Neurospora crassa OR74A: one gene and its partners. The protein of the gene in region 6 purifies or fractionates together with the protein of the main gene of each other region. This does not show direct contact. Links are inferred from orthologs where the notes say so. Each region holds a gene or a part of one and is shown on either strand. Other genes may lie near its edges.

Evidence for each region.
Region 1: the proteins of pph-3 (region 6) and NCU03114 purify together in Saccharomyces cerevisiae (affinity purification with mass spectrometry; 3 studies listed by BioGRID). This does not show direct contact. The link is inferred for Neurospora crassa OR74A from reciprocal best matches to the Saccharomyces cerevisiae genes GLC7 and SSU72.
Region 2: the proteins of pph-3 (region 6) and fkr-4 purify together in Saccharomyces cerevisiae (affinity purification with mass spectrometry; 4 studies listed by BioGRID, with this or other methods). This does not show direct contact. The link is inferred for Neurospora crassa OR74A from reciprocal best matches to the Saccharomyces cerevisiae genes GLC7 and FPR3.
Region 3: the proteins of pph-3 (region 6) and NCU08277 purify together in Saccharomyces cerevisiae (affinity purification with mass spectrometry; 4 studies listed by BioGRID, with this or other methods). This does not show direct contact. The link is inferred for Neurospora crassa OR74A from reciprocal best matches to the Saccharomyces cerevisiae genes GLC7 and SUI2.
Region 4: the proteins of pph-3 (region 6) and un-17 purify together in Saccharomyces cerevisiae (affinity purification with mass spectrometry; 5 studies listed by BioGRID, with this or other methods). This does not show direct contact. The link is inferred for Neurospora crassa OR74A from reciprocal best matches to the Saccharomyces cerevisiae genes GLC7 and PAP1.
Region 5: the proteins of pph-3 (region 6) and NCU04640 purify together in Saccharomyces cerevisiae (affinity purification with mass spectrometry, with the first as the bait; 3 studies listed by BioGRID). This does not show direct contact. The link is inferred for Neurospora crassa OR74A from reciprocal best matches to the Saccharomyces cerevisiae genes GLC7 and SUI3.
Region 7: the proteins of pph-3 (region 6) and NCU08353 purify together in Saccharomyces cerevisiae (affinity purification with mass spectrometry; 3 studies listed by BioGRID). This does not show direct contact. The link is inferred for Neurospora crassa OR74A from reciprocal best matches to the Saccharomyces cerevisiae genes GLC7 and YTH1.

The regions. Positions count from the first base shown.
Region 1 is NC_026501.1:4,604,524-4,608,186, reverse strand, and holds NCU03114 (SSU72), read right to left. Parts: upstream 2,316-3,663; 5' UTR 2,151-2,315; intron 1,918-2,150; 5' UTR 1,858-1,917; coding exon 1,715-1,857; intron 1,654-1,714; coding exon 996-1,653; 3' UTR 565-995; downstream 1-564. UniProt on the Saccharomyces cerevisiae protein: Component of the cleavage and polyadenylation factor (CPF) complex, which plays a key role in polyadenylation-dependent pre-mRNA 3'-end formation and cooperates with cleavage factors including the CFIA complex and NAB4/CFIB.
Region 2 is NC_026501.1:5,029,146-5,033,441, reverse strand, and holds fkr-4 (FK506-binding protein 4), read right to left. Parts: upstream 2,808-4,296; 5' UTR 2,549-2,807; coding exon 2,459-2,548; intron 2,363-2,458; coding exon 1,919-2,362; intron 1,849-1,918; coding exon 1,185-1,848; intron 1,126-1,184; coding exon 920-1,125; 3' UTR 280-919; downstream 1-279. Other genes in the region: NCU16390 (hypothetical protein), read right to left, coding at 3,379-3,559, 3,623-3,777. UniProt on the Saccharomyces cerevisiae protein: Proline isomerase that belongs to an abundant class of enzymes that catalyze the cis-trans isomerization of X-Pro peptide bonds and can accelerate the refolding of proline-containing polypeptides. Specifically binds nuclear localization sequences.
Region 3 is NC_026504.1:2,569,501-2,573,619, reverse strand, and holds NCU08277 (eukaryotic translation initiation factor 2 alpha subunit), read left to right. Parts: upstream 1-1,552; 5' UTR 1,553-1,989; coding exon 1,990-2,067; intron 2,068-2,136; coding exon 2,137-2,507; intron 2,508-2,586; coding exon 2,587-2,823; intron 2,824-2,889; coding exon 2,890-3,136; 3' UTR 3,137-3,527; downstream 3,528-4,119. Other genes in the region: NCU08276 (hypothetical protein), read right to left, coding at 1-346, 419-741; NCU16791 (mitochondrial inner membrane protease subunit 2), read left to right, coding at 3,686-3,942, 4,028-4,119. UniProt on the Saccharomyces cerevisiae protein: eIF-2 functions in the early steps of protein synthesis by forming a ternary complex with GTP and initiator tRNA. This complex binds to a 40S ribosomal subunit, followed by mRNA binding to form a 43S pre-initiation complex.
Region 4 is NC_026503.1:4,131,036-4,135,373, forward strand, and holds un-17 (Poly(A) polymerase), read right to left. Parts: upstream 2,827-4,338; 5' UTR 2,267-2,826; coding exon 1,367-2,266; intron 1,318-1,366; coding exon 319-1,317; 3' UTR 96-318; downstream 1-95. Other genes in the region: NCU08984 (hypothetical protein), read left to right, coding at 3,649-3,690, 3,752-3,909, 4,001-4,338. UniProt on the Saccharomyces cerevisiae protein: Polymerase component of the cleavage and polyadenylation factor (CPF) complex, which plays a key role in polyadenylation-dependent pre-mRNA 3'-end formation and cooperates with cleavage factors including the CFIA complex and NAB4/CFIB.
Region 5 is NC_026505.1:1,363,817-1,368,189, forward strand, and holds NCU04640 (eukaryotic translation initiation factor 2 beta subunit), read right to left. Parts: upstream 2,942-4,373; 5' UTR 2,576-2,941; coding exon 2,564-2,575; exon of another isoform or gene 2,091-2,563; coding exon 1,949-2,090; intron 1,898-1,948; coding exon 1,247-1,897; intron 1,137-1,246; coding exon 1,070-1,136; intron 1,015-1,069; coding exon 915-1,014; 3' UTR 268-914; downstream 1-267. Other genes in the region: NCU16952 (hypothetical protein), read left to right, coding at 3,667-3,907, 4,008-4,117. UniProt on the Saccharomyces cerevisiae protein: Component of the eIF2 complex that functions in the early steps of protein synthesis by forming a ternary complex with GTP and initiator tRNA.
Region 6 is NC_026503.1:2,384,613-2,388,722, forward strand, and holds the start of pph-3 (serine/threonine-protein phosphatase PP1), read right to left. Parts: upstream 2,875-4,110; 5' UTR 1,912-2,874; intron 1,764-1,911; 5' UTR 1,606-1,763; coding exon 1,426-1,605; intron 1,323-1,425; coding exon 921-1,322; intron 841-920; coding exon 541-840; intron 479-540; coding exon 450-478; intron 361-449; coding exon 345-360; 3' UTR 1-344.
Region 7 is NC_026501.1:5,654,092-5,657,540, reverse strand, and holds NCU08353 (mRNA 3'-end-processing protein yth-1), read left to right. Parts: upstream 1-1,422; 5' UTR 1,423-1,742; coding exon 1,743-2,696; 3' UTR 2,697-2,933; downstream 2,934-3,449. Other genes in the region: NCU11325 (alcohol dehydrogenase), read right to left, coding at 1-466, 527-838, 900-1,035, 1,104-1,136; NCU08354 (hypothetical protein), read right to left, coding at 3,134-3,449. UniProt on the Saccharomyces cerevisiae protein: RNA-binding component of the cleavage and polyadenylation factor (CPF) complex, which plays a key role in polyadenylation-dependent pre-mRNA 3'-end formation and cooperates with cleavage factors including the CFIA complex and NAB4/CFIB.

The DNA of each region.
Region 1 (3,663 bases), on a different chromosome or scaffold from region 6:
GTGGTTTATCATTCCACTAAAACGTCTCGTTGTGAAACAGCCCAAGACCGGCAATCGTCTGCCGAAATACAATGCAATTCTTACTTGAGACCGACGATATAGATATTGAGATTTATCCACATGGGTATGTAGGCATACCCGCATCACATCAAATGCCACCTCGACCTCGGGCACTCCCGCCCAACACCCCAACATGATAGGTAGTGACAACATGCATTAGCAGTAACCTTAATGGTCTTCGTCTTCCAAGTGTGTGTCCAATGGCCACCACAGCCCCATGTATTTCATTTTTGACCTTCGCGCGTTTAGTTGCATTGTCACAAGTAGGCCTGCTCACTGCGGGGGCACGGCCGGTTGCCCGGTTGTGCATGTTTCGATATTTTCTAGATGCTGGCAACCGTTGAGTACCCCAGATCCCAATAAGCAAGGAAGATCTCCAAAATTCTGCTATGTTTTCTTTGCATCCAATGTTGCGTATAATGAACCGTGCGGCTCGTCATCTTAAAATGCTTTTTGGGATACCATGCAGGGTACTCGTCAGGTGGGCCGATGAGCTCCCATCTCCGAGCATGTATGCATGCGATATTATTATGTTTGTGATAGAAGTAAGCATATGCGTAACAAACAAAATGCTTAATTGGCGGTCTGGCTGGTGGAAGAGGAAATGGCCTGCCAAATCACGGAGGTCGACATATTCTGAGAAAACCAGGAGGGGTGCGACCTCACAAAATAGCAAGTTGAAGCCAATCATGGCAGCAGCAGAATTCATAAATCCCGGATAACAACGGCTTGTTGATAGAGATTACGAGTCCAAATCAGCATTATGTTGTGACGGCCAAAACGTCTTGTTCGTCTGTGTTGTTTGGTCATCAATCATGAACCCAAAAAGATGTACCCCCCACCCTGTCCGTAACCGCGATTACGCCCGCCAGGCAATAAAAAGAACATCCAACGCCTTACGATGCACGAGCTCAAACAATACGCCAATTCAATGCTTAGAACCAAGCCAAAGTCCATGTCGCAGGAAGATTCGGCCATCTCTCCTGCCACTCGGCCAGGACGTCCGGTACGCGCTCATCGAATCCTGATCTGGCGCCTACGCTTCCCGAGTCAAAGGCAGAAGCGCCAACCTTCTCCCGCTCCTCGGCAGCAATCTTGTTGAGTGAGTCTGCCAAATCGACAATGGCTCGCCCTCCCACGGATGCCTCTTCATGGTTATCCTTGATATCGATGTTGATGACGTGAACAGGCCTGTTAAGTGGCGAGCCACGGTTGAGAAGATCTTCAATCACAGCATCCCAACAGCGTTCCTCACAGGTGATGACAACATCAGCTACGCCGCCCTCCATGCCATCAGCTCCCTTGTCATCCTTGTGCTTGGTTCTAGGCATTCCAATCTGCCAGTCCTGCCATCGCTCAGGGCCCCACTTGACTTGGCGGTTTCTCCCAAGCATGTTTAGCAGTCCATTTGCGCGATATAAGCGAGGGTCTTTGGCTTCCAACTCCCGATATATACTATCGTATGATGTTTCGTTGAACTTGTAGACATTGGGCTGTGTAATGGACGGCCCGGGGAGACGGACAAGAGAGCCTGTACCAAACGAAATCACGGGATAATTTGCAAGAGAGAGTCGCAAGTGACCTTCCATGGAGCTGGTGAGGGTTAGACGGGGTCATCCAGTTGCGTGACGATGCGATGCGTAAAATTGCTCACCGATTCTGGTTACTGGCGCAGACGGTGCAAAACTTTAGCTTGAAGCCGCCAGAGTCTTCACGCCCACCGTTTTGACCATTCTGCTCATTCTGGTCCGGCTTCGATGAGCTCGCGGCACCAGTTGGGGTATCTACAGCAGACATAGCCGGCAGTTGCAGGTAACTTGTTACTGTGGCAGATGTGGCATGCTTGACTGGAAAGACCTAGAAAGCGCAAGATGCCAATGTTAGTTATCAATGCGTTCCCTTCTGCGATACAGACATGGCAAGTGCAAAAGTGTAGGTTGTCCTCGGTACACATCAGATAAAAAAAGCGTATGTAAAAGTTTGTCATCAAACGCCAGACATAGCAGGCTACAGACAGCTCCAATAAAAAGATCATCATAAAGGAAAGAGACGGTTGATAAAGGGAGAGCGGAAAAGAGCGCAGGAATTACCTTTCAAGCTTCAGCTGAGCGCAAAGCGCAGACAGATGATGATTAAGTTAGTCGAGGTAGCCTGCTACCACACATATATAACTTGTTAAATGTCGTTGATGTCCAAACCTGTTCACCAGTTGCTGCTGGCGCGGAGATTTTGGACGGTGAAAAGTGGGATGTGGAATTTGGAACAAATCTGTTTGGTTACCGACTGCGAGGGACAAGTGGTGGTCATACGCACATAGTGCCCCATCTGACCGCTTTCCAAAATTAGAACGTTTCAGTGTTTCAGAGTGAAATGGTGGGTGGCTCGTGCGTCTTGCAGCCCGTTGCCCTTCTTTCCGTTCTCGTCAACTTCCCCCACCTCTCGAGTCTGCAGCGGTCCGCGGATATGCACTGCAGAATCACAGTGAGACGATCCCCAGGTATTTTTTTTTTCTCCCAGGACCCAAACCTCACGGGCCTCGAGCCTCGGTCACCATGCGTATCGATGCACTGTAGAATATCGTGCACAGAACATTGGAACTTACCTTTTCAATAACTTTTCTTAAAAGGTCCCACACAGGGAATGCGCAACTCATAGCTAGTGCCTTGGGAAATTCCATGGGTACCACGTTGCTGTTCGGGACGCATTCACGGAGCCAATCACCCACATCGAAGGCATCGAGAACATCCAATGGTGGACACAAACATGCAGTGATAAACATCCCTGTTGGGACGGGAAGTTGAGAGTTTCGTGCGAAGTTTTTCTTCGTTGGAACATGTTAACCAACAATAGAGGCACACGTAGAAAGTACATTTGCAAATGGCAGTATTACCCGCGTGGTATATCCTGTTTCGATATGTGTTAGAACGTAGAGGTATTTTGGGCGTAAAATCAAATTCAAGTTTTAATCTCCGTGGTTGACACACAGAAACTGCAGTGTGTCCTGCAAGTTGCCCGCCTTTGTCAACGAGAGCTGTCCTCTGAAGTGGACTTTTTGAGCCCCCCATACCTAACCCCGATTCGTTACCCAAAAATTTGCCAGCCATCGTCTAGGTCGACACTAACAGGATAAGCAAAGAGGTTAGGTATGTTGGTCCAAGGCGACCGAGTCCCGTCCTCAGAGGTTCGACTGATTGATTGCAGGTGACCAGCGGTTGCTATTTGCCAATGAGAGGAGCAGGCCTAAACCTGGAGTAAACCTGCGGCAGCGCGCTTAACTTTGTCCAAGTTGTACTAGAGGTATCCCGTCGTAAGTAGAGGTAGTAACTTGATGCGGCACCCCCCCCCCCAAATCTACCTACCTGTTCCTGCCTGAGATTCTGCCTCTTTTTCTTCTCCTCTTTTCTTCGAATCCCCCTCCGTTCCCACCATACCCTGTCTATATTGACAGCTCGCAATCGCTCATCTCAGCTTGCCGACCACACAAGGCCTCTCCATGTCTATACAAGCTCTTTAAGCTGACAATTGCCCACCTTGCTACCCCAGTGTGCCCCTTCGCACACTTTCACCACTATCTTTTCTACATTGCGTCCCTCACACGGGATC
Region 2 (4,296 bases), on a different chromosome or scaffold from region 6:
GGGCACCTTGACTGGGTGAAGAAGAAGCGAGAGACGACCTAGGCGAGCAGTCGTCAGGCTTAGTGGGACGATAAACCGGGATGGCGGTACCCAAATGACTTGATGTTTGGGAAGAGCTCCTCTTCATGTCTCAAGCTCGGTCCTGTCCATTGAATGGTAGAAACCGCTGCGGCGTCTAAGTTGGTCGATCGTAACGCACAATGCCTAGTTTGGCGGCAGTCGGGAGTCGCGGCGGCTATGATGATAGTGAAAGATACAATGACGATACCTATTGAGAGATGGAAGCAGAGCGGGGAGGTGGGAAGACGTGGATGGACTTTGTCAGTGTGTTGAAATACGACAAGGTGCAGTGAGAGAGGACGACTCGGAGTAAGGTAGCTCCATACCTATGCATCACCTGAACTACCTACCCATTAGATGTGCCTCCCTTGCCCCAGGTCAACAACACTGACCTCTTGAGGCACAGACAGGGCAGGTACGACTTCAATTCTGAAGAAAGCCAGTGTTTGTAGCCAACTGTCACGCTTTCCTGGAAGTTATTACCGTCCGTCAATCAAAGACACTTTCCTCGACATCTCGAAACATCCAAGTTTGCCAAGTCCGAGTCGAGTGTAGGTAACGTAGAAATGTTGCGCCTTTGCAATTGATAGACGCAATATAGAATAGATCGTGCCCCATGAACGATGTACAACCCAAAGTACAGAAAGAAATCCAGACCCAATACTTTTGACATTATGCTGTTGAAATGACATTCCCACTTCCTTGACCAAACCCAACATGAGCGCAAGGAAATATGTGCTGACCAAAGAAATCCCAAGACTTGCTAGCCATAGAACACGAAAGGTTGTGGATGACAACCGCCATAGAAATCGCGACGCTAGCCAAAGCCTTCCTACCCCACGCTTCGAAACGTCACAATCTACTTGATCTCAAGGAGCTTGACGTCGAAGATCAAAGTGCTGTTGGGGGGGATGCCGGGAAGGGCACGGCTGCCGTAGGCAAGGTGCGCGGGGATGGTGAGACGACGCTCACCACCGACAGCCATGCCAGCAACACCGATGTCCCAACCCTTGATCACCTCACCCTTGCCGAGCTTGAAAGAGAACGGGGCACCCTTCTTGTTGGCTGTATTGAATATTAGTCTCTAGTCAATACTGTGAGAGTGATGGAAAAGTGAGACTTACAGTCGAAGACCTTGCCGTTCTGGAGCTTTCCGATGTAGCGCATGCCAACACGGTCACCGTTCTTGGCGGCACGGCCGGTGCCAACCTTCCTGTCATCAATGGTGACGCCCTGGACAACCTTGACGGTAGAGGTAGGCTTCTTGTTCTCAAGCTTGTCCTTGGCAGGGCCAGTAGGGCCCTGCTCGAGGTTCTTGGCGAACTGGACCTTCTTGTCGGACTTGGTCTCCTTCTTAGGCTCCTCCTTCTTGGCCTCCTCAACCTTCTGCTTCTTCTGTTGCTTCTTGCTGAGCTTCTTGTCGTCCTTGGAGATCATGGCATCGAGACCCTCGGCATCGTCCTCGGCGGGGCGCTTCTTGCCCTTCTTGCTGGTGTCGACAAGCTTGGGAGCCTCCTCCTCCTCGTCTTCCGAGGTGATCTCCTTGACACGGGGGGTGCCATCGAGCTCGTCGAGCTCGTCGCTCATATCGTCGGAATCGTCATCCTCGCCACCAAGGGGAAAGTCGTAATCCTCGTCGTCGGACTCATCCTCATCATCCTCGCTGTCCTCCTCGTCATCCTCGGGAACAACGAAGTTACCGGTGAGATAGACAGAGTGGGTACCCTGGACACAGAAGAAGACCTTCTCACCCTCGCCGATGGTGATGTTGATGGGCTGCTGGTAGTTCTGTATATGGGGAATCAGGTTAGCTCCAAGAACTCAAAAATACGTTCACCGAATGGATGGGGCTTCTTACGCGCTCAGTGTCAAGGGTGCAGACAACGTAGTCCTCAAGCTGGAGGTCATCATCGCCGCAGCAGTCGCTCTCCTCGTCGCTCTCCTCCTCGTCGGACTCGCTGGCCTTGCCCTTGCCCTTGCCCTTCTTGCCGTTGGGCTTGGCATCCTCCATCTCCTCATCAGACTCCTCCTGGGTAGCAGCCATAAGCTTCTTGATGGCAGCCTCCTGCTTGGCCTTCTTGGACTTGGAAGGGTCGCTGGGACCACCGTTGGCCTCGTCGTCAGAGTCGCCGCCGCCGAGGAGGGACTGGAGGTACTCATCCTCCTCCTCATCATCGTCGTCATGGTCGTGGCCAGTGGCCTTGATGATCTTCAGGGTCGAGCGGGGGAGCGCGGGAATGTTGCCTTGGCCGTCAGCCTCAGGAGCCTTGGTGGGATCGAGGGCGGCCATGGTGATGTGAATCTGGAATTCATGTCGTTAGCTCCGTGTAACCCAGTCCAGTGGAGCGCCATTGCCTGCGAAGGAGAGGGCCAAAGGCTCCGAAAAGTGTGCACTTACGATAGCAGGGAACTCAGAGGCGGCGGGAATGAGGATCTCGCCAGGAGGAACCTCCAAGCCAAAAACGGCGACAGGCATAAGGGGGGCCATTGTGAAGATTGGGTGGTGCTTTGCGCCGGGGTATCAAAAAGTCTAGATTTTAAAGAAAACTAAAGAGACAGGAACTCGAAGTCGTCGTCGGAAGTATACACTTCTAAGATTGAAAGAAGATGAATGGGCTGGGTAGAAAAAGTCTGAAGATGGATGCGACCAGTTTGACTTGGGAAAGGCAGAAAATGCGATCGAGGACGAGGGCGGTCGACAGGAAAAGTTCAGGCGAACTGCACTTGGAATCCAGAAAAATTTCGGCACCCCACCGTCTGTACTGTCTGTTACTGTAGCGATAAGACTTCCTTATCGGTTCACTGCCACTCTCCCGCTCCCCAAGCCAAGCTAGCAAGGGTATGTCGGTCAATGCAGGCCGGTCTGCTAACAAAAGCGGGGAAGAGTTCGACAAGCTCCGCGCTAACGTCGTGCGCGGACGCTTGATGTGCCTAGAGCTGGCATGGGAACCTTGCGACGACGGGATGTTCAAACTGCAACTCGTCATCACCGACTCGAGGTTTGAAGGTGGTCGCCGCGGGACTGCAATCTTTTGCCATCTGCAGGATTCATTGGTGCCAGAGCAAAGTGCATCAGGTGGGAGGTATAAGAATGAACACCATGCACCACAGGTACATGTCTGGAGTCTCCCGGCGATGCCATCCCACATCACATCGGTCCCCCAGGCTCACGGTTCACTCCACCTGAGTGAGAGGATTCACCAACGAAAGCATTTCTGAGGGATTCAAAGCAAGATTAGGTAAGCCCCTGGCTGAACCTTCAGGCACACCTTGATAACCCAGCATGCCACAGTCATCCCATCATCAACGCAATCGTCTCTAGATCTTGTCTCGATTTTCATATCTCTGCGGCCTCTCATCCACCTTAACGAGCTTCAATCCCGACTTAGCCACTGGGCCCGGGAAGTGACGGCTCTGCCTCGCGTAAGCCGCAACGAGATCATTGCCGTTGGTTACGCCTCCTATAGTATTCATCGAATGTCGGCCCAGTCTTCTGGGCCTAGTCAGGAAGGGATGAAAACAAACCACTAGAATAAGCCAAAGATTCCCATCCCCCACCCACCTCAACTTCTCCGCCACCCGAATAACGTCCTGGTCCTCGAATCTCGTCCGCAGATCTCCTTGCAACTCTCGCGGTCCACAGGCTTGCTTGCTTTTGAGTATCCCGGCCGCACCGCAGAGGTAGATGGCTGAGTAGACGCTTAGGATGTCTGTCATTTTCGTCTGGTTGTTACTGGTGTTGTTCGCATGCCCTGCCAGCCACGACAGAGCGGCTGGGCCCTCTTAGAGGTCAAGCTAAGGATTCCGGTCCCGGAATCAAGACGATGTCAAGCTTTCCTGGTGCCACTTCAAAGCGGATGTCTATGGAGGCTATCAGAGGGATTGGGTGATAAATAGTTGGACTCTGCTGATGTTTTTTGTGTCGTTTTGGGGGGGGGGGGGGGGGGGGGGGGGGGGGTAGTCAGCTATCATTATCACTTCCTCTAGCGGTAGGTTTGTTGACCGCGGATCATCAATTGGAACCATTGAATATTGCACTGAACTATGTAATAGAAGATCTCCACACTAGGCGCCAACATGGAAATAGGCAAGGGTTCCATCCCCTCCCTTACCATTTCGAAGTATTCTCCGCTCATAAAGGCAAAGATGTCGACACATGCTGTGTCGAACAGTTGGGCGTTCTAGGGGGTGAAGACGTCTATGCGCACCACTTACAGTCGCTTGCGGCTGAACGGT
Region 3 (4,119 bases), on a different chromosome or scaffold from region 6:
GGCGGATTTAACAAAGATCTCCACCATACCGTCGACCACAAGACAGAATCCTTGCTCTTCTTCGAGGTTGAGGGTTTCGCCAGCGATCAGCTTCCTCGTTTGCATGCTGCGGGTCAGTTCATGGAAAACCGGCCTTTCCAGATAACCAAAGATTTTGATGGCGCTGAGAAACTCGTCAAAGTAGCTAGCTAGCCCAGACTTTACTCCTTCCTCCTGTGTTTCGGGGAACAGATCAACAGCTGGCTCTTTGCGCTGGGGCTCAGGAGGAAGCCGTGAGTACATGTTTAAGTAGCGATATCTGACTACCCAGGTCACTCCTGCCATCATGAACAACATAATAAGCACACTAAGCATACCGACGGTTAGATCCACCAGCCTTGAGTCCATGTATACAAAATGCGGCTGGCGGATGACTTACAGCGTAGTGGCGTTCATGGTCACCGTCAGACTAGTCGAAAAGATGTTGAACAGAAAGGTGGGTGTAGTGATGGTGGTCAGCTTGATGACAAAGTATAGCACACTCGAGATGCGGTGCAACAGCCAGAGGATGATGGTGAACCATGAAGTCGGGGTGTGTTCGGGAACCACATCGCTAGTAGCTTTCGAGACCGCATCGCTGGCGAGAGCGACGACAGACGAGAGGGCTTCTGTAGGATCGGCGAGGATTGCCGTCGCAGTCGTGGACGTTGTCTCGGAAAGCACCGAGCTCATGGCGTTGCCGAGGTTGCTAAGAGACTCCATTTTCAGAAGCCTGAAGCACCAAGCAAGCAAGCCAAGAGTTACCGGGCGAGCCCGTCGTGTAGATCGGTTCTGACAGAAAGAAGAGAGTGTGTATGTATGTTTTTGTTTTTGTGTTTCCTTTTTTTTATAGGGTTGTAGGTATCGCGGTAGTGTCGCGCCGTCGTCGTGGGGATGGTCGTGAAGAATAGTTGGTGTTCGATCGATCAGCGTGTCTGAACCCCAAAAGTACCGTCGCAACCTGATCAAGACCTATGAGCTGTCCCCTCCCCGATGTGCCTGTGGTTGAAACCCAACTCTTACTACCTGGTCTGCGGTGTCGTCGCTCTGTTCTTTTTCATATCGGTCCAAGTGTTGTCACCCAAGACGGAGACCGTCGAGAAAAGCGAAACGGGTGAGCTCCTCCAAAAGTAACGACATGTGCGGAGGGTTTAGATGAGCCCAGTGTCGTCGGGTGTTGGTCGGCCCTCGGGATTCGTTTGGGTGCCGTGCAAAAGTCGAATCTCCAAGTCGCCGTTGGTGGACAAGCAAGGTTCAGTGATTGAAGCTCCCTAGCTCGACGATGTCCAAGGAAGATTCCAGGCTTATCAGTGACTAACCCCACTGTCGGTTCACGATTGACGTCGTTGTTCCTGCCCACTGAGCTGGCGCTTGGCACAGTGGAGTTCGGGGCAGGTGGAGTAAGTAGAGGTACCTAACCGAGAGCAGGTACCTGCCTTTGCGTACCGTTGTTCCCACCTGGGCTGCTGTGCGCTTCCTTACCTAGGTACCCGACTTACCCCACCTCAAAAAAAAAAGATGGAGCCGCGTCTCACTTGCCGTCACGGTCAGAACGTGAAATTCACCCCTCAATCCGGCGCACCAGCCACAGCCTACTTCGTTCCCTCCCAAAGTGCCCACGCCACTTTTGCAGCCTGTCTGCACGTAATTTTTGGTTGGTACCCGAAAAATACTGCGACGCATCTGGCTAACTTTGAGTGAGTCCTTTGAGCCTCGCTGGACCCTCCGAGAACCCGCTGCCGCAACCAGAACTCGAACTTCCAGAGGACCTTTCCCAGCTGTGGCCACTTGCAGCGAAACTCGGTCAATTTTCTTTCTCGGCCATCAACCCCTCCAGACCATCCACTCGAATTCCATCTCGCCCATTGTCGCGAAGCTCGTCGCCGACATTACCCTCCCCCTTTCAACACCACTAACACCACCACTTATTTCACCGTTTGCCCCGCCCGGGAAAAGGCACCAGTCGCCAACATGTCGCTCTCAAACTGCCGTTTCTATGAGGAGAAGTATCCTGAAATCGACTCGTTCGTTATGGTCAATGTTAAGCAAGTACGATACACTGGGGTCCCGGTGGTGCGCATGCGCATGTGGATGCGTCAGAGCTGACCCCCAGATTAGATTGCCGATATGGGCGCCTACGTCAAGCTTCTCGAGTACGACAACATCGACGGCATGATCCTGCTCTCTGAGCTTTCCAGAAGACGTATTCGTTCCATCCAGAAGTTGATCCGTGTCGGTCGCAACGAGGTCGTCGTCGTTCTCCGTGTCGACAAGGAGAAGGGTTATATCGATTTGTCCAAGCGTCGTGTGTCCCCCGAGGATATCGTTCGTTGCGAGGAGCGTTACAACAAGAGCAAGATCGTCCACTCGATTATGCGCCACGTTGCCGAGAAGACTCTTGTTCCCATCGAGCAGCTTTACGAGACAATAGGATGGCCCCTCAACAAGAAATACGGCCACTCGCTTGATGCCTTCAAGCTTTCGATCACGTACGTCATTCCGGGAAATAGGCGTACAGCTGTGGGACAAAATGGCGGTATTGGACAAGATGCTGACATGGATGTGAAGCAACCCCGACGTCTGGAATGACATCCAGTTCCCCACCGAGGCCGTTGCCGAGGAGCTCAAGACCTACATCAGCAAGCGTTTGACTCCCCAGCCTACCAAGGTCCGTGCCGATGTTGAGGTCACTTGCTTCGGCTACGAGGGTATCGATGCTATCAAGACCGCTCTCCGCACTGCGGAGGCTCGCAACACTGAGGAAACCCAGGTCAAGTGCAGACTTGTGTCCCCTCCCCTTTATGTGTAAGTCTTTGCCAGAAATAGTCTTGCAATGTTGAAGACAGAGTGGAAGCTAATAACTATACACAGCCTTACCAACACCTGCTTGGACAAGAATGCCGGTATTGCCCGCCTTCAGGAGGCCATTCAAGACATGCGGACCAGCATCGAGGCTGCTGGTGGCCACCTTGTGGTGAAGATGGAGCCCAAGGCTGTCACTGAGTCCGATGATGCTGAGCTCCAAGCTCTTATGGAGAAGCGTGAGCGTGAGAACGCTGAGGTCAGCGGCGACGAGAGTGTCAGCGAGTCCGACGACAATATCCCCGAGACCGTCTAAAGCGCCTCTTCATTTTGCAGCCATTCTTAAACGGAGCTATCTTTGCAGGCTCATTGGGATACTCGACACTATTTTGAGGAAAGGTTTAGGGATGCATGTATACAGTTTTTGCGACACAGGGCTGGCGTCTAGGGGATACAAAAGTCCTTCAGGCGGTAGAGGAATCAACCAAAAGATTGCATCAAGCGTATGCCTAATGAATGTGAGCGAGGGACGAGGATTGATGAACACAAGACTTGATATGGATACATAGTCATTTTATGGATGCACTTGCTGTAACTAGGTAGATCTAGGCGTTCAAGGATATGCAGCTACCGGGGCTGATAAGCGATCTCATCGTTTTCTTATCGCCGCCTGCCCGGGCATGTGGCTGCAATTATTGTCTTCTCCATGTTAACACACAAGCTCCGTACTGCTCACTGCCCTGCTCACTGAGCACGTTGAGGCGAACATACGCCCTCTATTTCACAGCAGCATTGCGATTCACAGCAAAGAGTTGCATCGCATTGACATCTTCGGTAGCTCGATAACTCGCTTGGTCGGATAGCGATGGCGGCGCGATGGGGAGCAGGAATTCGGAACGGATTCCTCGGTCAGTTCTCACACTACCTCATTCGCTACGCAACATGGATCCCTCCATTGGTGGTCTTCAACGGCTGGGTTGCCGAGATCACACAAATCAAGGGGCCGTCCATGTATCCTTTCTTCAACCCGCACTACAATGAGTCAACACGTCGGGACATCGTACTGGTCTCTAAGTGGTACCCGGACCGGAACCTCAAGCGCGGCATGATTGTGACCTTTAGGTGAGATCCAAAATCTCATCCTACAGCATCTGGCGTGCCGCATTCGGGGCATTGGTTGGGAACCTGACGACTAACTGTAACCCAGAAACCCACTGAACCCAAAGGGAAAGGTCGTAAAAAGAGTGGTCGGAATAGCAGGCGACGTGATCCGTACCAAGGCGCCTTACCCGCATGAAT
Region 4 (4,338 bases), about 1.7 Mb from region 6:
GGCGTTTTCCCCCGAGTACAACGGAACTAACAGCTCAATTCATTAGCAGAAGCAATCGACGCAGCAAAGAATTTGTTAAGATGATGTATAATAGAGCAAGAAGTGAGATGAAAAGTCACGGACGCAAAGACCACTGCGAGATGGAAACTTGGCTTAGTTGATGGGGCACTTGTGCCCCGAAAAACTAAATTTATTAGTCTAGCAGATTTAGCAACTCTATCTTAGATACATTTCTCTACACCTCGCGCGTGGTACTGCTCGCACATAGCAACTAATTTGTCCGTGACCGCCAACAAAATCTGTCTGTACATCCTTCGATCAGTGTTCGCTCTTAATGGTCGGTGGCGCGGTCGCCATCTGTTGTCGCTTGGCCATCGGGCCGTTCGCATGTTCCCCTTCGGCCATACGCTTCTTCTTCTTGACTGGCCTAACAGGCTTCGTCTCTCCAGGCTCGAAAACGTCGTCGGGGAGATCGAAATTCCTAACGTGCTGGATAGTCAATCCCATCAACTCTGCTTTGAAGATGTCGTTCGAGGTGCACATTGCCTTGAAGTCGTCGACTTCTCTGGACAGATCCAGAGACTTAGCTCCCTCTACCAGCTGCAGGCCGATGTAATGGTTAGTGGTGTAAATCTCAAGCTCCGGCTCCTTCTCCGGTATATCCTCCAGCTTAACCTTGTCTTCGTCGTAGTCGTTGGCCTCAGGCTTTACAGAGTTGTCCTCAGGCTTTAGAGGTACCGTTCCTAGATGTACCACGTCGTTCGGTTCTTCCTTGACAGCCGGCACAGTCGGCTCCCGTGCAACACCATCCTCCGTCTTGATCTCCGCCTTGACCTCAACCTTGCTGTCGTTCTTGGCGCTCCCATTCGCGGCTATATCCGTCGGCTTGACCATGTATGTGAGATTTCCGGTTTGAATCTCTTCGACCTGAGCATCCGTCTTGCATCGGTGCACTCTGTCGTAACCTTTGTTGAAGGGGCGGGCAAGGGCGATGGAAGGGTGCAGCTCAAGCTTCTGGACCAGAACACGCACTCTTGACTCGACGAAGCCCGACCAGGTATTCTGCGCCTCTTTGGTCCTGCCGGATGAGATGACCGTCAGGTAAAACTTGAAGCCGTTGGTGAAAAAGGTGTGTTTCTCGAACAAATCTTTCCAAGGCCTTTTACCCAACATGATCTCTTCGGAAATCTGCACCCCCCGTTCCAGCTCCTGTTGAATGACCGCCATTGAAGACCTTCCAACATTGTGTGTCGCGCACATGGAAGGGTATGATGGGGTGATGATGGGCATCTTGTGATTGCGATCACTCGGGTATATCTAGTCTGTGGTGAGACATCAGCGCGACAATGATGAGGGGTTGACTTACCTTGGGATTCCACACCGCTACACGCGTAATGGACTGGTTGTATTCGATATTCTTCAGAAGAACCGGGAGCGGCCATGGCCAGTTGAGCATAATAGTGAAGAATTTCCTGACGATGACAGCACTCGTCGCCTTCGGATAGAGTTGGCATACTCTGGCGACCAGCATAGCCCAAGCCACACCACCAGGATAACCCATGATATTGGCGTAGATAGCCCTTCTCTGAGCCCAGAGCTTGATTGCACGAAGTGCCAGCTTGAACGTCTTCTCTTCGGGAACCAGCGCAAGGATCTCGTCGGTTACGCGTGTTCCGTTGAGCGAGCGCACCTCGTTTTCGGACAAGCCGCGCAGGAGGTTGTTACTGTTCAAATTCCAGTCCTTGTCGTCAGGAAGTTGACGAAGGCTCTGGATTGAACAGAAGATAAGATCTATGCTGATGCCCGAATACTCGAACTTGATGATAGGAACGAAGGCCTCGGGTACTGGAGTCAGGTCGGTGATGGCGCCAGGGGGAGCCATTTCGACAAGAAGGTTGGGAAAGATGTCGAAGTATTGCTTGACGGTGACGTACTTGGGTACAACGACGAGGGTATCGATATCGGATCCTGGCCCATACACACCCAAGCGAAAACTGCCATATGTGAATATTCTGCCTCGAGCGTCGCGAATCAAAATGGCATTGTGCGGCTCCTTTTCCTGCGCGGCCCTCTTCACGAATTCATCAGTAATGCGCTGGAGATCTGCGAGCACCGCCCATCGCTTATCAGTTTCGGCCTGACTTTCGAAGGTGCCCTGCGCGCGCAGCTCTTTGAGAAGGGCCTCGGTCTGTCGTTTCTCGGCGTCGGTAGGTAGCGTGGTCGAGATAGGAGGCGTTACGCCCAAGGTTTGTTCGGGGTTCGACATGGTGGCACGAAGCGCGGTGGGACGAGGAAGCGTGCTGGATGCGCCGCTAAGAGTATCGAAGACGAAATATGTCGTGCAGGACTGATCGATGACGCTGGTCGCGACAAGAGGAAAACTGGATCGCGCGCGCAAAAGAGAGGAGCGCAGGCGCAGTGAGAGAACGCTGACGGGCGAAAATAGAAGTCTATGATGGGATTGAACAGAAGGAACCAAGCAGCTCCACGTAAGGCAAAGAACGCTCAGGTCATGATATGCTGTGCTTTTTGTTGATTCGAAAGATGGTGATACCGGATAGCTGATTGATTCTGATATCGACCCTGGGGCAGTCGGAGAAGCCGAAACCAGACAGGGTGATCGATGGGGATGGATGAAGGGGCTGCGTTAGGTAGGTTGTCGCAGAAGACAAAAAGCACGTCGCCGACTCGGCGCGTCTCGGTTCAGCCTGGGTGTTGAGCACGGACTCCCACTCACCACAAGTCTGGCAGCATGATTGGCGCGAAGCAATGTCCTGTTATTTCAGAGACGCTGGACACTGCAACTTGAAATGCAACCTGCAGGAATCACCCGTAAACCTCTGACGAGTATCCTGGGACCCGCACGGGGATACCTAATCTCCACTGAAATTCAAGTACTTTGGTACCCCCACCATAATAAGACGGGTATCATGTTGGCTTAGGTTTTGGTGTCTTGGTTCCGACAATTCAGGGAGTCAAGCTCTGAAAAGCTCAATCGTCACATTGCAAAGGCCGCTGGACTGCCGCATTTCAGGTAGAAGAAGGTCTTCCCCAGACAACCCGACCTGTTCCTTCAAGTACCTAGGTAGGTAGGCGTAGGATGTCCGTCTGTCCACTTCTGGGCATCTTACAGTACATTCGAGTAACGCCATGGGGACAGGTGAGTTGGCAGAATCAGTTCCATTTTTGCAGTAAACATCGGTCTAATATTCAGGGACGTATTCTATTATATCGGCTGTAAGTACCAATTCAACTTTGGTCTAATGCTAGGTACGTACCATCGGAGTGAAGGTCAAATGACGATAGAGTAGAAGTATGGATTTGGAGAACAGATGACATTTCAAAGCTGCCGCGGCCCCTGTGGAAGATGGGATCTGGCCCCAAGCGGCAAGCAAGGGCAAGACCGGACCAGGTGTCCATGCATCATCCACTGGAGTTCCCCTGGGAGGTCCCTTCCATAGCGCGGCCCCGCCCCCACACTGGCCCTGCAGGCCCCTGCACATGACGCTGCCGCTAGATGGAGGATCACCGTAACAGCCGGGGCAACGTTGAAAGTTTACATGGGTGTCGCATCTGGATTCTCTCGGCCTCCCCTACACTACATCCATTTTGCACCACTTCCACTTTGCTTAGTCTCAATGGGGAAGGATGAAAAAGACATTACTTCTCTGCTTCATCCACGGCTTCAAGGTATGTACAATGAGATTAAGCGACGCGCCAGCCAAGATCAAACTGACATTGTCATGCAAAGGGAGGTGAGTCGACCTTTGGCGACAACTATGCCTTCACCGAGCACCTCCGCCAACTTGTCGCGGCCGACCTACCCAAGATAAACGTCAACGTCGTGGTATATCCCAAATATGAGACTCGAGGGGACTTGGGCGAGTGCGTAGCGCGATTTCGAGATTGGTATGTGCTCATCGACCGCATCCGTTCCTTCATCTGTCACATGCTTGAAGCCCCGAACCATCCCTAACATGGGTCGCCCTCGCTATCACAGGCTCATGAATAAAGTCATCGACCTCGAAGTTGCCGCCGGAACCTCATCGCCCACCATAGATCCCTCGGTCCGCGTCGTTCTAGTCGGCCACTCCATGGGCGGCATCGTCGCCGCCGAAACCGCCATCGAGCTCTCCTCCGACAAGCCTATCCACGGCAGCACCGACCCGGCCGTCGAGGACCCGAAGCTGGACCATCGCACCGCCGACTCCGCGCCTCTCCATCGACCACCCAGCCCCAGCTCGCTCATGTTTCCCTATATCCAGGGCGTCCTCGGCTTCGATACACCCTATCTAGGCATCGCTCCTGCCGTCTTCGCTCATGGCGTCGAGGGTCACT
Region 5 (4,373 bases), on a different chromosome or scaffold from region 6:
TCACGTTACGCGTTGACTTGGAAAGTGTTGACTAATCTATCGAACAGACAGACGAGGTTGAACCGTTGAGTTGTTGCCTGCGGCCCATCGTCTTATATGGGTTTGTTGATGCAAAATGTGGAGGGGAAAGATTCTCCCGAAGCTAACTATCATGCATGTGCTCGGCATATCATGGATCGATCGCCAAAACATCGGAACGTAGTGTATACGCAATGTATACGCGTCAAGGTGAGATTTCGAACCTAAGCGGCCGCTTTTTCTCACCAATCGCGGAGTATCAAGGTTTATCATTTTACTCAACTGCCACTTTGAGTTTCGATAACATAATGTAGTTTATAAAGGTAGACTGAATGGCTATACATACTGCAAAGAACAGAGAATAATTCCTGTTCGCAAGATCTCAAAATCCATCGCTTCGTAATCCTGCGCTCAGTCAGCCTCTTCCTTGCTCTCCCAGTCTAGCTTGCTGACCATGGTCATGAATGACCTGAGAACCTCTGAATCCCACATCAGTCTAGATACAACCTCGCAGCCCTCATCCATATAAATCAGACAAGCTCAGGAAAAGAAGAAAGCCCTCCTCTTTATCAGACTCCCTATGCAAAGTAAGGATAAGTGTGCCACCATCATCAAAAACCAGAACTTTTTGTGTACCAATTCTTCATCAAGTATCGTCATATTAACCCGTACCCTACCGCGTAAGGAATTCACCTGATTTTGTAGCACAGACTCTCTCTTCCATCCTCTCTCTCGTGTACTGGAGATGAGAGATTGCCGTTCAGAGGGGCCGTGCTACTTCGTAAAAGACCCGTGCCCAACCAGCCATATACAATGCCGTCTTAACTCCGTCCTTGAAGCGTGAAAACATTGAAAAGCAAACTGCAAGGGCCTCGAAACAAGAAAACAAAAACCGCTTAACCCTGCATCTTCTTTCTCTTGCCGACCTGGGCAGAGAAACCGGTCTTAATGGCCTGGACAGACCGCCTAGAACCGCAAGAGTTGCAGGTAATGAAACTGTGACATGTCAGCATTTTGGGGCTATGGTCGTCGTAAACAGAGGCCAACTTACTAAAGACGGTTCTCGCCCTTGGAGAGCTCGGTGTTGGGGGAACGGCACGTCTTGCAGGTAACGTACTCTGTTGAGCATGTTAGCATTTGTAGTCAGAGCAAAACGTTGGGTGCTGGTGGTGACATTGTCTACTTGGGCGCAAAACGTCCAAACGACGACAGGATCAAATAGACATACCGATAATGTAGGTACGCAGAACGTTCTCGATCTGCTTCTGCTGGAAACGACCCTTGATGACCAGACGCCTGCTGCCGTCGACGGAACCGCTGGTACCCAATTCGGCGAAAAGGTAAGAAGTAACGTGCTCGTCGGCTCTCTTCATGCGCTTGCAAATCTCGGGCAGGTTGGCGAAGATGGTCTTCTTGTTGCCTTCACGGAGACACTGCGGGGGCGGGATCTTGTACGACCGTGTACCGGTAGAGGCGTGGTCGGGGTTCTTTTGCGAGAGAAGGGCGAAGAAACGGGACAGAAGAGCGTTGTAGCTGATGGGCTTGGTCTCGTCGTGGGCCCAAATGCCGGTGCCCTGGTCCATATCGCCCTCCTGCTCGTCCTCCTGGGGGGCGGCCTCCTCGCCCTCCTTGCCCTCAATGTTGAGAGCCTCCAGCTTCTTGGCGAACTCATCATCCTCCTTGACGACCTTCTTCTTCTTCTTTTTCTTCATGGTGAGGTCGATAGCACCGTCACCCTCGGCAGGGGCGGCCTCATCAGCAGCGGCGTCGGCATCGTCCTCCTTCTTGACCTTCTTCTTCTTCTTCTTCATGAGCGAAAGGTCGAGGCCATCATCGGCGGCGGGGGCGGCAGCAGCAGCAGCATCCTGGGGCTCGGTGGCTTGGGGGGCATCAGTAAAGGCCCCGAGAGCGGCGTGGAGGGGCGGCGTACGAGCAGAGTGGGACTGGGCAGTCTCCTTGATTTCGTCGGCGGGAGAGGCGTCCATGGTGACAGAACCGTCGGGGTTGACAACTAGCTTCTCGTCGGTAAAGGTGACAGACTTGCGCGAGGGGCGTCTTTTGATAGAGGGCGCCTAAAGGGTTAGTATATCGGAGTGGATAAGGCGCTTGTCGTGGGAGTCGCGATAGCGGTCAAGGATTTCGCCGTCGAGTGTGGATAGGAAAGCTCGGAATTTTTTGGGATGATTGGCGGCGTTTTCGCGCTGCAGAGTGCCAGAACTTTATGGTGGATTTTGGGCTGGGGGTGGAGGGAGAGGGTTGGCGCCTTGGAGGGGCAGTACACGTCAGGGGACTTGAGGGCTGGGGCCGGGGATAGGTATAATTGCACTGCGTAGGTAGCAAAGTACAGTGAGGGGTGTGCAGTGTGGTGAATGGGACTTTTTATTTCCTTAGTATTTTTGACTAGGCGAGAAGCGTGGCTCCCCCCAGGGCTCGAGGTGTCTGCCTCTAGCGTGGTGGTAGGGTCGGGGAGGACGGAGGGTGTGTTGTGTGGGCGTAGAGGTAGTGAGTGTGTACTGAAGCAAGGAGATCCATCCCAGGTACTTACTTCAGAATCCATGCTGGGCCACTGGTGTGTTTGAGAGTGTGGTGGTGTCTGTCTGTCTGTCTGTAGGTGTGTGATTGTCCGTCTTTTTCTTTGTAATCGATGTCTCTTCCGGTGGACTCTTTGTTGGTCGCAGAGAGTGGATTTTGTCGATGGATGAGATTAGGTAGACTTTGGGGTCGGGAGAGGTATCGATGCAGGCAGACTGATCTCAGCTTTCTTTCAGTTTCGGACCTGGAATTGTTCTTTGCGGGGACCTAGGTAGTTGGATGCCGCTTGGGTCCTGGTCTGGTTACCTACTACTACTGTCGTTTAGTTCTGTCGTTGGGCTGGAGACTGAGCGGAGTTCTTTCTGTACACACGGCTCTGGATGGGGCACCGGCACCACGCCTCAGCTGTGTTCACCTCATGACGTTGATTGAAGCGAAACTGTGAGTCAGTCTTCTCAATCACCTGACAAGTGGGGTGGGAAGAGCTCAGACAGCTGCCCGCCACTTGCAACTACAAATCGCCTCCGCTTCTCCATTTTCCAGGCCATGCAGCCCTCCTCCCTGCAGCACGGTGCCTTCAACCCGCTCGAGCCACGGCCGCACAGTCCGACACGGTTGGGTTGGCACTGGCACTTGCAGTCCGGTGCAGTGCTTGGCGGCAGCGATAGGTGAGTGGTGTCCATTCCAGCATCGCATAGCTGCACTGCTGCAGCAGTTGGTGCCGTGGCCCGTCATCGGTCACCGACAACAACCAGCTCCATCACGAACCTTGGAAGGCGCGCCGAGTCCGTAGAGGTATCCATCTCCGTGTATCGCTGTGTTCGTAACCGACAACGAATCTCCCAGCAGCAATCAAGTTCGTCCCACGCGATTTCTACAATATCCTACACGTCAGGCGTTACGCCGATTCGTACAGTGTCTCCATCCCGAACTATCGCAATTTGCCCGAGCTACGATAGCTACTTACAGTACCATCTTCACCGCGACAACCGACCGTGCGCCGGCGCCGACCACTTGCTCGCCTCATCCAAACCACACTGACGATAGCTACCTACTCCCGGCCAGAGACGCGATACCCTCAGACAGACAAATTGCGCATTCGGGACATCCAAAACCATGTCCACCCCCTCCGATTCCTACGTCCTCCACGACCACTCCCCGTCAACCGACAACGACGATGTCGACTCCCTCCCGTCCATCTCCAGCAGTATCCTAGGCTCGGACGACTCCGAGTACGACGACGAATCAGACGCACAAAAGGAATGGGAACAGAGTCTCGAGCAGCTGCAGCTTCTCTTGAACTTGGTGCTAATACCGTTCGCGGGCAAGTTTTTGGGGCGCAAGTTTGCTTATTGGAGTAAGACAAACCAAAACCAGATCTTGGGAAAGACAGCTTGCGCTGTGGGAGGAGACAATAACGACGATGCGGAAAGTCAGTTGCTAACATGGCCCGGCAGGTTGGGGACGGTACATGGAGTGGGCGCACGGGGTCAAGGTCCAATGGTATAACAAGACGCTATTCAACATTGCCGGTTGGATAGGAGCTGCTACGCCAGTATCAGTATGAGGGAGGCAGACAGGCGACCGTGGTGATGAGGTACTCGAGTCAAAGGCGACGGCAGCACAATTCTCGATACCCTATTTTTTCGGTATAATCTGGGATACCAGGGGTGGACACAGTGCTCTTTTGGCGTTACGGTATGGGAACACTAGCATAAAGGGGTATGTTTCGTTCTTGCACAGTTTGCGTTGCATTGGTGGTGAAGAATTACAGACATGTGTAGAATGCATGTGGACTGTCGTTATACTTGTGGAAGCAAGCG
Region 6 (4,110 bases):
ACACACACTGCTTATCTATACCTTTCCTAGCAGGAGTAGTGACCAGACAAGAAAAAGAAAAGGTCGTTCGTTATTCATCCCCCGAGATATAAAAAGATTCCCTTTCCTTCCTACCCTCTCGAGTTGTGTGGAGACCGGACGGATGGAGAGACAGGACGGGCAGACGTGGCTTTCGTTTCGTTGGCACGGCAGGAGGGGCGAGGACCTCCCCAAAAGAAGTGGTCGGAACAGACGGCAGACGGGATGATGGCTGGGAGCCCTGGCGATCAGGAAACATGGCGGCGGTAGACAAGCTGACGGTAAGATACTCATGTTCGTTGCGGGCGGGCGAAAGTATCAGACGTTTATCGGCGGCCGAACCTAAAGGAAAACGGGTGTGTTCGTAAGAAAATTCTTTACTTGTGCTTCTTGGGGGTCTTGAATTGCTTCATCTGAGACTGGGAACGTACTTCTGTTTCTTCTCTGCGGGCTTGAGAATCTGCAAAGGGGGTTAGCAAGAGTGCAAGGGTCTCGGAGCTTGCCAAAGTCAGAAAAACATACCTGGAAAGAGCAGAGCAAACTTTCGTCGACGCTCATCATAGCACCAGCGTTGTCGAACTCGCCGCAGTAGTTGGGGGCACTAAACAAAGTAACGAGCTGGCGCTTCGAGAAGAACTCATATCCGTCCTCAACAACCTGGTGAGCACGGCAGATCAAATCCATGTCGTGTTTTTGGAGGAAGCGAGAAACGACATCCGGGCCGAATGTGAAGGAAACACCACGATCGTTTTCGCTCCAACCAGTAATGTCCTTATCGGGATCCGACCACAGGAGATCGCAAAGAAGACCGCAGTCAGGAATCTGGCGCTATTGTTAGTGTCTCATGTTACGGCAACTAGCCTGAGCAAACGGAAAGCCCGGGCATGAATGGTGTAACGTACGTCAGTTGGTCGCATGACTCGGCGGATCTGCTCCATTGAGTTCAGATCCGGGCTCAAACCACCGTGCATAGTGAAAATCTTCTCGTCGATAATGGCAGCGATCGGTAGGCAGTTGAAGCAGTCGGTGAAGGTCTTCCAAAGCTTGATGTTGTACCTCCGCTTGCACTCGTCGTAGAAACCATAGATACGGTTGATGGACGCGCACTCGTGGTTGCCACGAAGGATGAAGAAGTTCTCGGGGTACTTGATCTTGTAGGCGAGGAGCAGGCAGATGGTCTCCAGGGACTGCTTGCCACGATCGACGTAGTCACCTAGGAAGAGGTAGTTGGCCTCAGGAGGGAAGCCACCGTACTCGAAGAGGCGGAGGAGATCATAGTATTGACCGTGGATATCGCCGCAAATCTAGGGAGGTGGGGCACGACGTCAGCTATGAACACTGCCGAAGGGGCAGTATGGCGCATGCCGAGGCTATGTAAAGGGATAATAGAAAGAACACAATGCTTACCTTGATAGGAGCCTCGAGCTCAAGCAGGATGGGCTGGGAAATGAAGATTTCACGGGCCTTGGTGCAGAGATAGCGAATCTCGGCTTCCAGCAGCTGCACCTGCTTACCAGGCCGGCTGCCCCGCACCTCCAAGAGGCGGTCGATTATAGAGTCGAGGTCGACTTCGGTATGGTCCGCCATTGCAAAATCCTCACCAACCGGAGAGATACCGCGCACAGGTTTTCGAAGTCACGGTAACGACCGACAAACCCCAGCTAGTCGGATGGGACGGGTCTAAAAGAGCGGCACGCGTAAGGAGTAGGAAACTGGGGTAGATGCACTTCTGCAAAGCTAAACGACTAATTCAAGACGTTAGACATTGCCAATGACGACGCAGATTCTGATTGGGGTTTGCCGCACGCGATCGCGATGGCGGGAAAATGAAGGAGGAGCGACGGCTGGGCAGAGACTGGGAAGCCGCAATGTAACGGCAGTTGATCAACTTACGCTCAGAAGCGATCCCAGCAAGAAGCGATTGTTGGGGGTTTTTTTTTTTTTGGAGAGGCGAACGCGTTCTCCTTGGGAATACAGCAAGCGGTGATTTTTTTGGTGTTTTTTTTTTCTGGAAATAGGTATTCTTTCGGATACCGAATGTTGTGCTTTGGTTTTAGTAAATCGTCACTGGGTTTGGCGGAGGTGCGAACGGTCTAGAGCAAGCGCAAGCAAATCTCGTCGGAATTGCGAAGAAATCGGTCCGGTAGTACGCGGCGACAAGAGGGTTAGCAATGATGGAAAAAGGAGACGGCTCCAGAAGTCTCTGATCGTCCTTTGTGAGGTAACGTGTTTTTTTTTTTTTGTCGCGCGGACGGGGCTGGGGCAAAACGCCGTGTCGTCGTCGAAAATCTGGGTTCGAAAAGGTCGGGTGTAGAAGGGGAGTTCAAGTAGTCCTGAGACTGCGGGAGAGGCTGTCACTGCCACTGCCAAAACCACGGTCGGGAAAAACTGGTCGATGGACTGCCCGGGAGAGTGCAAAGTGCTGCAGCGAGGTGCAGTACAGAGCGCTGGGCCGGTCGGAGGGTCGCTGGAAAAAGCTGCGTCTAATTGAGCGACGGAGGCCAGAAGACGAGATACCGCGAGATGATGCCTATGATAATAGGACTTCTATCGCCAGGGTGGGGTTGAAAATGCGCGTTCTTTGTGGTTAAAGACGTCGCCCTGTTTTGGTTGGGATAGAAAGCGTCGGGAGAAAAAAATCAACGTCGGTGGTGGTTGCTTAGAGACTTTTGGGAGGAGACGGACAAGCGCAGACGCTTCCACTTGGGCTGCCCGCTGCTGGGGGGGGGGGGTCCGGCCGGGCGATGGGCTAGGTAGAGGTAGGTAGGTAGAGAAGACTGGCGACTGGACTGGACGGGGACGCAGAGAAGGGATTGGGCTACTGGGCCGATGGAGCAGCAAGATTTACACGCACGCAACGCAGCTAATGAAACGCACAGGGCTTCCAGACTACCTACTAGCAGTGGAGAGCAGTAGGTAGAGGTAGGCAGGCAGGTCCAGGTCCAGGTCCGCGTTCTTTCAAGCCCAGGTCAGGTCACCTCGGTGCCTGCCAGTCAGGTTATCGTTACAACAACCACAACAGGCGTCCGGTCGGGTCGGGTTTCGGTGCAGTTGTGATCTTTTCCGCCGACTGGGCTCTCATCCACATCGATGGAATGAACAGGACAGCACTCAGTGACATGGAACGAAAAAAACTCGAAACATCCGACGCGATGGCAGGCCAGAACAACCCTCAACTTAAACTCAAACATACCTACCTACGGCTGAAATAACCCAAACAAGGACAGGCTCAGATTGGGTGAGCTAGGTTAGGTAGTTGGTACCTAGGTTGCCAGCCAGGTAGGTAGGTACCTACCTAGGTTTCGCGCCCGCTCTGAATCTCCGTCAGATCCTGGCCGAGCCCTTGTGCCCTTTCCAGTTGCAGTGAAGCGGCCCTTCCAACTTGGCTCGAGAAAAATTGCATGCACTCGCCTCTGGGGAAGCAGGTATGATGATAGGTCGGTCCATGTTGCTCACTAACGCGACTGGGTAGGAGCTGCGCTGCCTTCCCCCGCAACTGCGAGCACTTCTGTTAGCAAGAGTCCCGAACACCGGACCCTCCTTGGCAGGTCTAGGCCTGGGATTGGCTCGCCTAAAAGCCGCTTGCGATCCCGTTGGTGGGTGTCGCCTGGAACTTCCATCTCTCCCAACCCTCCAACTTCCCCCTCCCTGTGTAGAGATAGTGGACTGTGAGTGTGACACCTTACCTGGTATGTACACGGCAATAGCAAAGACGGGAATGCCTTCTTGGTCGCCTTGTTGTTACTTTGCATTGGTATTCCGGCTTTGTCCTCTTTGCTCGTTTCCCCCCACCATCAGCATCAGGTTCCGCAAACGCAATGATAGGCAGGGCAGCCTGGCTACATGGCCTACACCTAGATCAGGCACAAGCACCCGGTATGCATGATTACAACAGCTCGAAGCGAAGGAGTATAAAGACAGGTCGACAGGCAACGGATATCCAGTCAACAACGAGCAAAATATTCGAGCGACTCAGCCGCCGACGTGTATCCGCAAGATCAGTGAGACTGGGAGCTCGACAGCAAATGCGCAAAGCCTCAGTCAGGCTGTCGAGAATCTTGGGCATCTTGGAGATCCAGGTAGTCCTCTGCG
Region 7 (3,449 bases), on a different chromosome or scaffold from region 6:
CCCAAAGCGATCAATGCATCCGGAATTTTTTCGAGACCGACGAACTCCTTGTCGCTGAACACAGTCGGTTTGAACTTGCCTTCGGCAATCAACTTCATGATGCCCTGCCACACGGTCACCACCGTCTCCTTCTCATGGACAGCGTATTGGCCCCAGTGAACACCGACGAGGCTGATGTTCTTGAGAAGAACCTTGTTCATGGCCACCTTCTCGATCTTGCCGGCAGCGAAACCGACAATCAGGATGCGGCCATTCCACGCAGTACATTTGGTGCTCAGATCTACCAGGCCGACAGGATCGTAGACAATGTCAACACCCTTGCCTTTAGGGGTCAACTTCTTCACCATCTCGGGCCACTTGGGGTCCGTGTAGTCGACGACATGATCAGCGCCAAAGGACTTGGCGACTTCGAGCTTGTGCTTGGTTCCGGCCGTAGCAATGACAGTTGCTCCAAACGCCTTTGCAACTATGTGTGGGATTAGCAACGAAGTAGTTCATCTTCGAGACGGGTATGTATGCCACTAACCTTGGACTGCGGCAAGACCTACACCACCGGCCGCAGCGTGAACAAGGACGAAGTCGCCCTTCTTGACGCCGGCCCGAACAACAAGGGCTCCATAGCTGGTTGGTGCCGTCACAAAGAGGCCGGCAGCATCCACAAGCGACCAGCCTTCGGGAGCTGGGAGGAGGGCCGTCTCCTTGGCTTTGACTTTGGTAGCGTACGCACCCTGGCTAGCTCCAAACACACGTGAACCGACGGGGAACTTGGGGTCCTTGAGGCCGGAAGGGGTGGCGAGAACCACGCCGGCGAACTCGGCACCTGATACCCAGGGGAATGCTAAGACGCAACGTCAGCATACTGAATGCAATGTAAGCGGGACTCAATAAAGAAGCCGCACGTGGTTGATTCTGGTATTTGCCCTGAATCTGAAGAATGTCGAAAAAGTTGGTTGCCGCAGCATGAACTTCAATCAAGTACTCATCTGAAGTAGGTGTAGGGTCTGGAAGCTCCGTGACCCTGAGCTCTTGCGGGCTCTGAGTTAAGGGCTAATGTTAGAACCACGAAATGGGAAGATGTCCTGGATGATCGAGATAGGACATACCTTAACATACTGTGCCACCTGAATGCCTCTCATCTGGGAAGGATACCTGGAGTAATAGAGTGCTTTGTTACACTGGAAAGAAGCAGACGCAGAAACACCGAGTGAGATACACAAGCAGTGAAAGAATGACAACCTATATGATTAAACAAGGGTACAATATGGTTGAACAAATGCCGAATAGCCATCGCGGGGGTGACCGCTAGCCCAGTGTAAGGGAAGCCGAGGTAGCCCAGACCGGGATAGCTGATCTCTGATTGGTCACTCACCTTGCATCTCTCGGTGAGTCCACGTCTTATCGATTTCCAACAATCGATTTGCGACTTGTTGCACTCTTTCTCTCCAAACTCTCAACCACACCTTGCTTCAATTTTTTGAATGGCGCAACCTGCTGTGCGAACTTCTCCCGACCAAAGCCGAATTTGAAACTGGGCAAACGCAGCAAAGAATACGACTCTTGGTTAAGCGTGCATAAACACAAGCCACGCGCATTCTCTAGGCAAGATTCATTACGACTGGTCGCCCAGCTACATACCTCTCCGAACCGATCGTGAACCGCTCGCGACAAAACAAGCCTACCCACCTTGAAGCCCGAATCGCACCGGCGAACCACCTTTTTCCCCCCCTCACACATCCGCCGAGATGGCGACAACAACACAGACAACAACAAACTCCCTCCCCTCTGGGGCAGGAGGACCGCAACAACTCGTCACTCAGATGCTCAACCACACCGCGCCACACTATACCTTCTCCTTCACGCCCTTCCTCCAGCGCACGTACCAGCACTCTCTCCCCGCCGACCGACCCATCTGCAAAGCCTACGCCTCAGGCAACTGCCCCCTCAAATCCCACTGCCCCGAGCGCCACGTTACCGCGTCGTCCCAAAACACCCATGGCGGCGGTAACACCTTCAGCGGCGGCTTCGGCTCGCTAGTCTGCAAGCATTGGCTGCGCGGCCTCTGCAAAAAGGGCGAATCGTGCGAGTTCCTGCACGAGTACAACCTGCGCAAGATGCCCGAGTGCAATTTCTTCGTCAGGAACGGGTACTGCAGCAACGGGGACGAGTGTCTGTATCTGCACATTGATCCGCTGTCGAGATTGCCGCCGTGCCCGCATTACGAGAGGGGGTTCTGTCCGCTGGGACCGCGATGTGACAAGAAGCATTTCCGGAGGAAGCTGTGTTTGTATTACCTGGCGGGCTTCTGTCCGGATGGGAAGGGCTGCAAGGAGGGCGCGCATCCGAGGTGGACGGCGGATAAGGATATGGAGAAGCCGAGGGCGAAGGGGGAGGGAGATCAGATGCTGCTGCAGCAGCAACAGCAGCAGCAACAACAACAACACATGGGCGATGCTAATGGTATGGGTGGTGGAATGGCGCAGGCGACGGGCGCGAATGAGTATATGGACCGAGAGAGGGAGCGCGATCGGGATAACAGGGAGAGGGAGATGATGATGCAGGGACGCGATAGGGACGGTGGCGGGCATGATCGCCATAAGGATCGCTTTGGAGGCGGAGGAGGAGGAGGAGGAGGAGGCAGAGGCCGAGGAGGATGGAGGGGAAGAGGAAGGGGAGGATTTAGGGGTAAAGGTCATTAAGAGAACATTGGTCCCAAAGCGGCCAGGGGAGGTCAAATGGTACATGAACATAGCGACATATTTAGGCTAGTGCTCGGACGATGAGAAGGCCCAGGAATCCGGTAGTAAAGACCAGGTATGCATCACGGAATAAGGAATAGGTCACGGCGCAAAGGCAAGGTTATATCTAGTGTATTAGCTGTAGGTCAGGTTTACATTCACAGGGTTTGTGAGATTCTTATAAAAATTGCTAGCTTGACAGTTTTGAGGAGCTGTGATCTGTATGTTCTTCCAAAATAGACTGAGAGGGACGAGATCCCAAAACATGAACGCCGCTCCCTACCTAGGACACCCGTAACCAAATGATAATCAACCCACCGTCTGAGATGCTATGGCATATGCCATTCTTGTCGACACTGCCTTCTTTTGTACTCTTCCAAACTATTCCCATGAAGACTTTACTCCATCGGCACCGCAACAAACAACTCATTCGATGTGCGGGCCCCAGTCCCCACCTCCTCCTCATCCCCATTCTCGCTTCCCATAGACCTCACCGAGCCACCCGACCTTGGGCTATTAAACGAGCTATGACTCGACTGCCACGCCGCCAGCTCGTCCACCGTCCGGATACCCATCATCCACGCCACCAGCCCGCGCGGCACCCAGCGTCCGACAAACCCATACACGCTCGCGCCGAGGCCGACGCGCACAGTGCCCTTGGTAATGGACCCGTCAATCACGTCAAAAACAGCATTATGCAGCTCCCGCAACGAG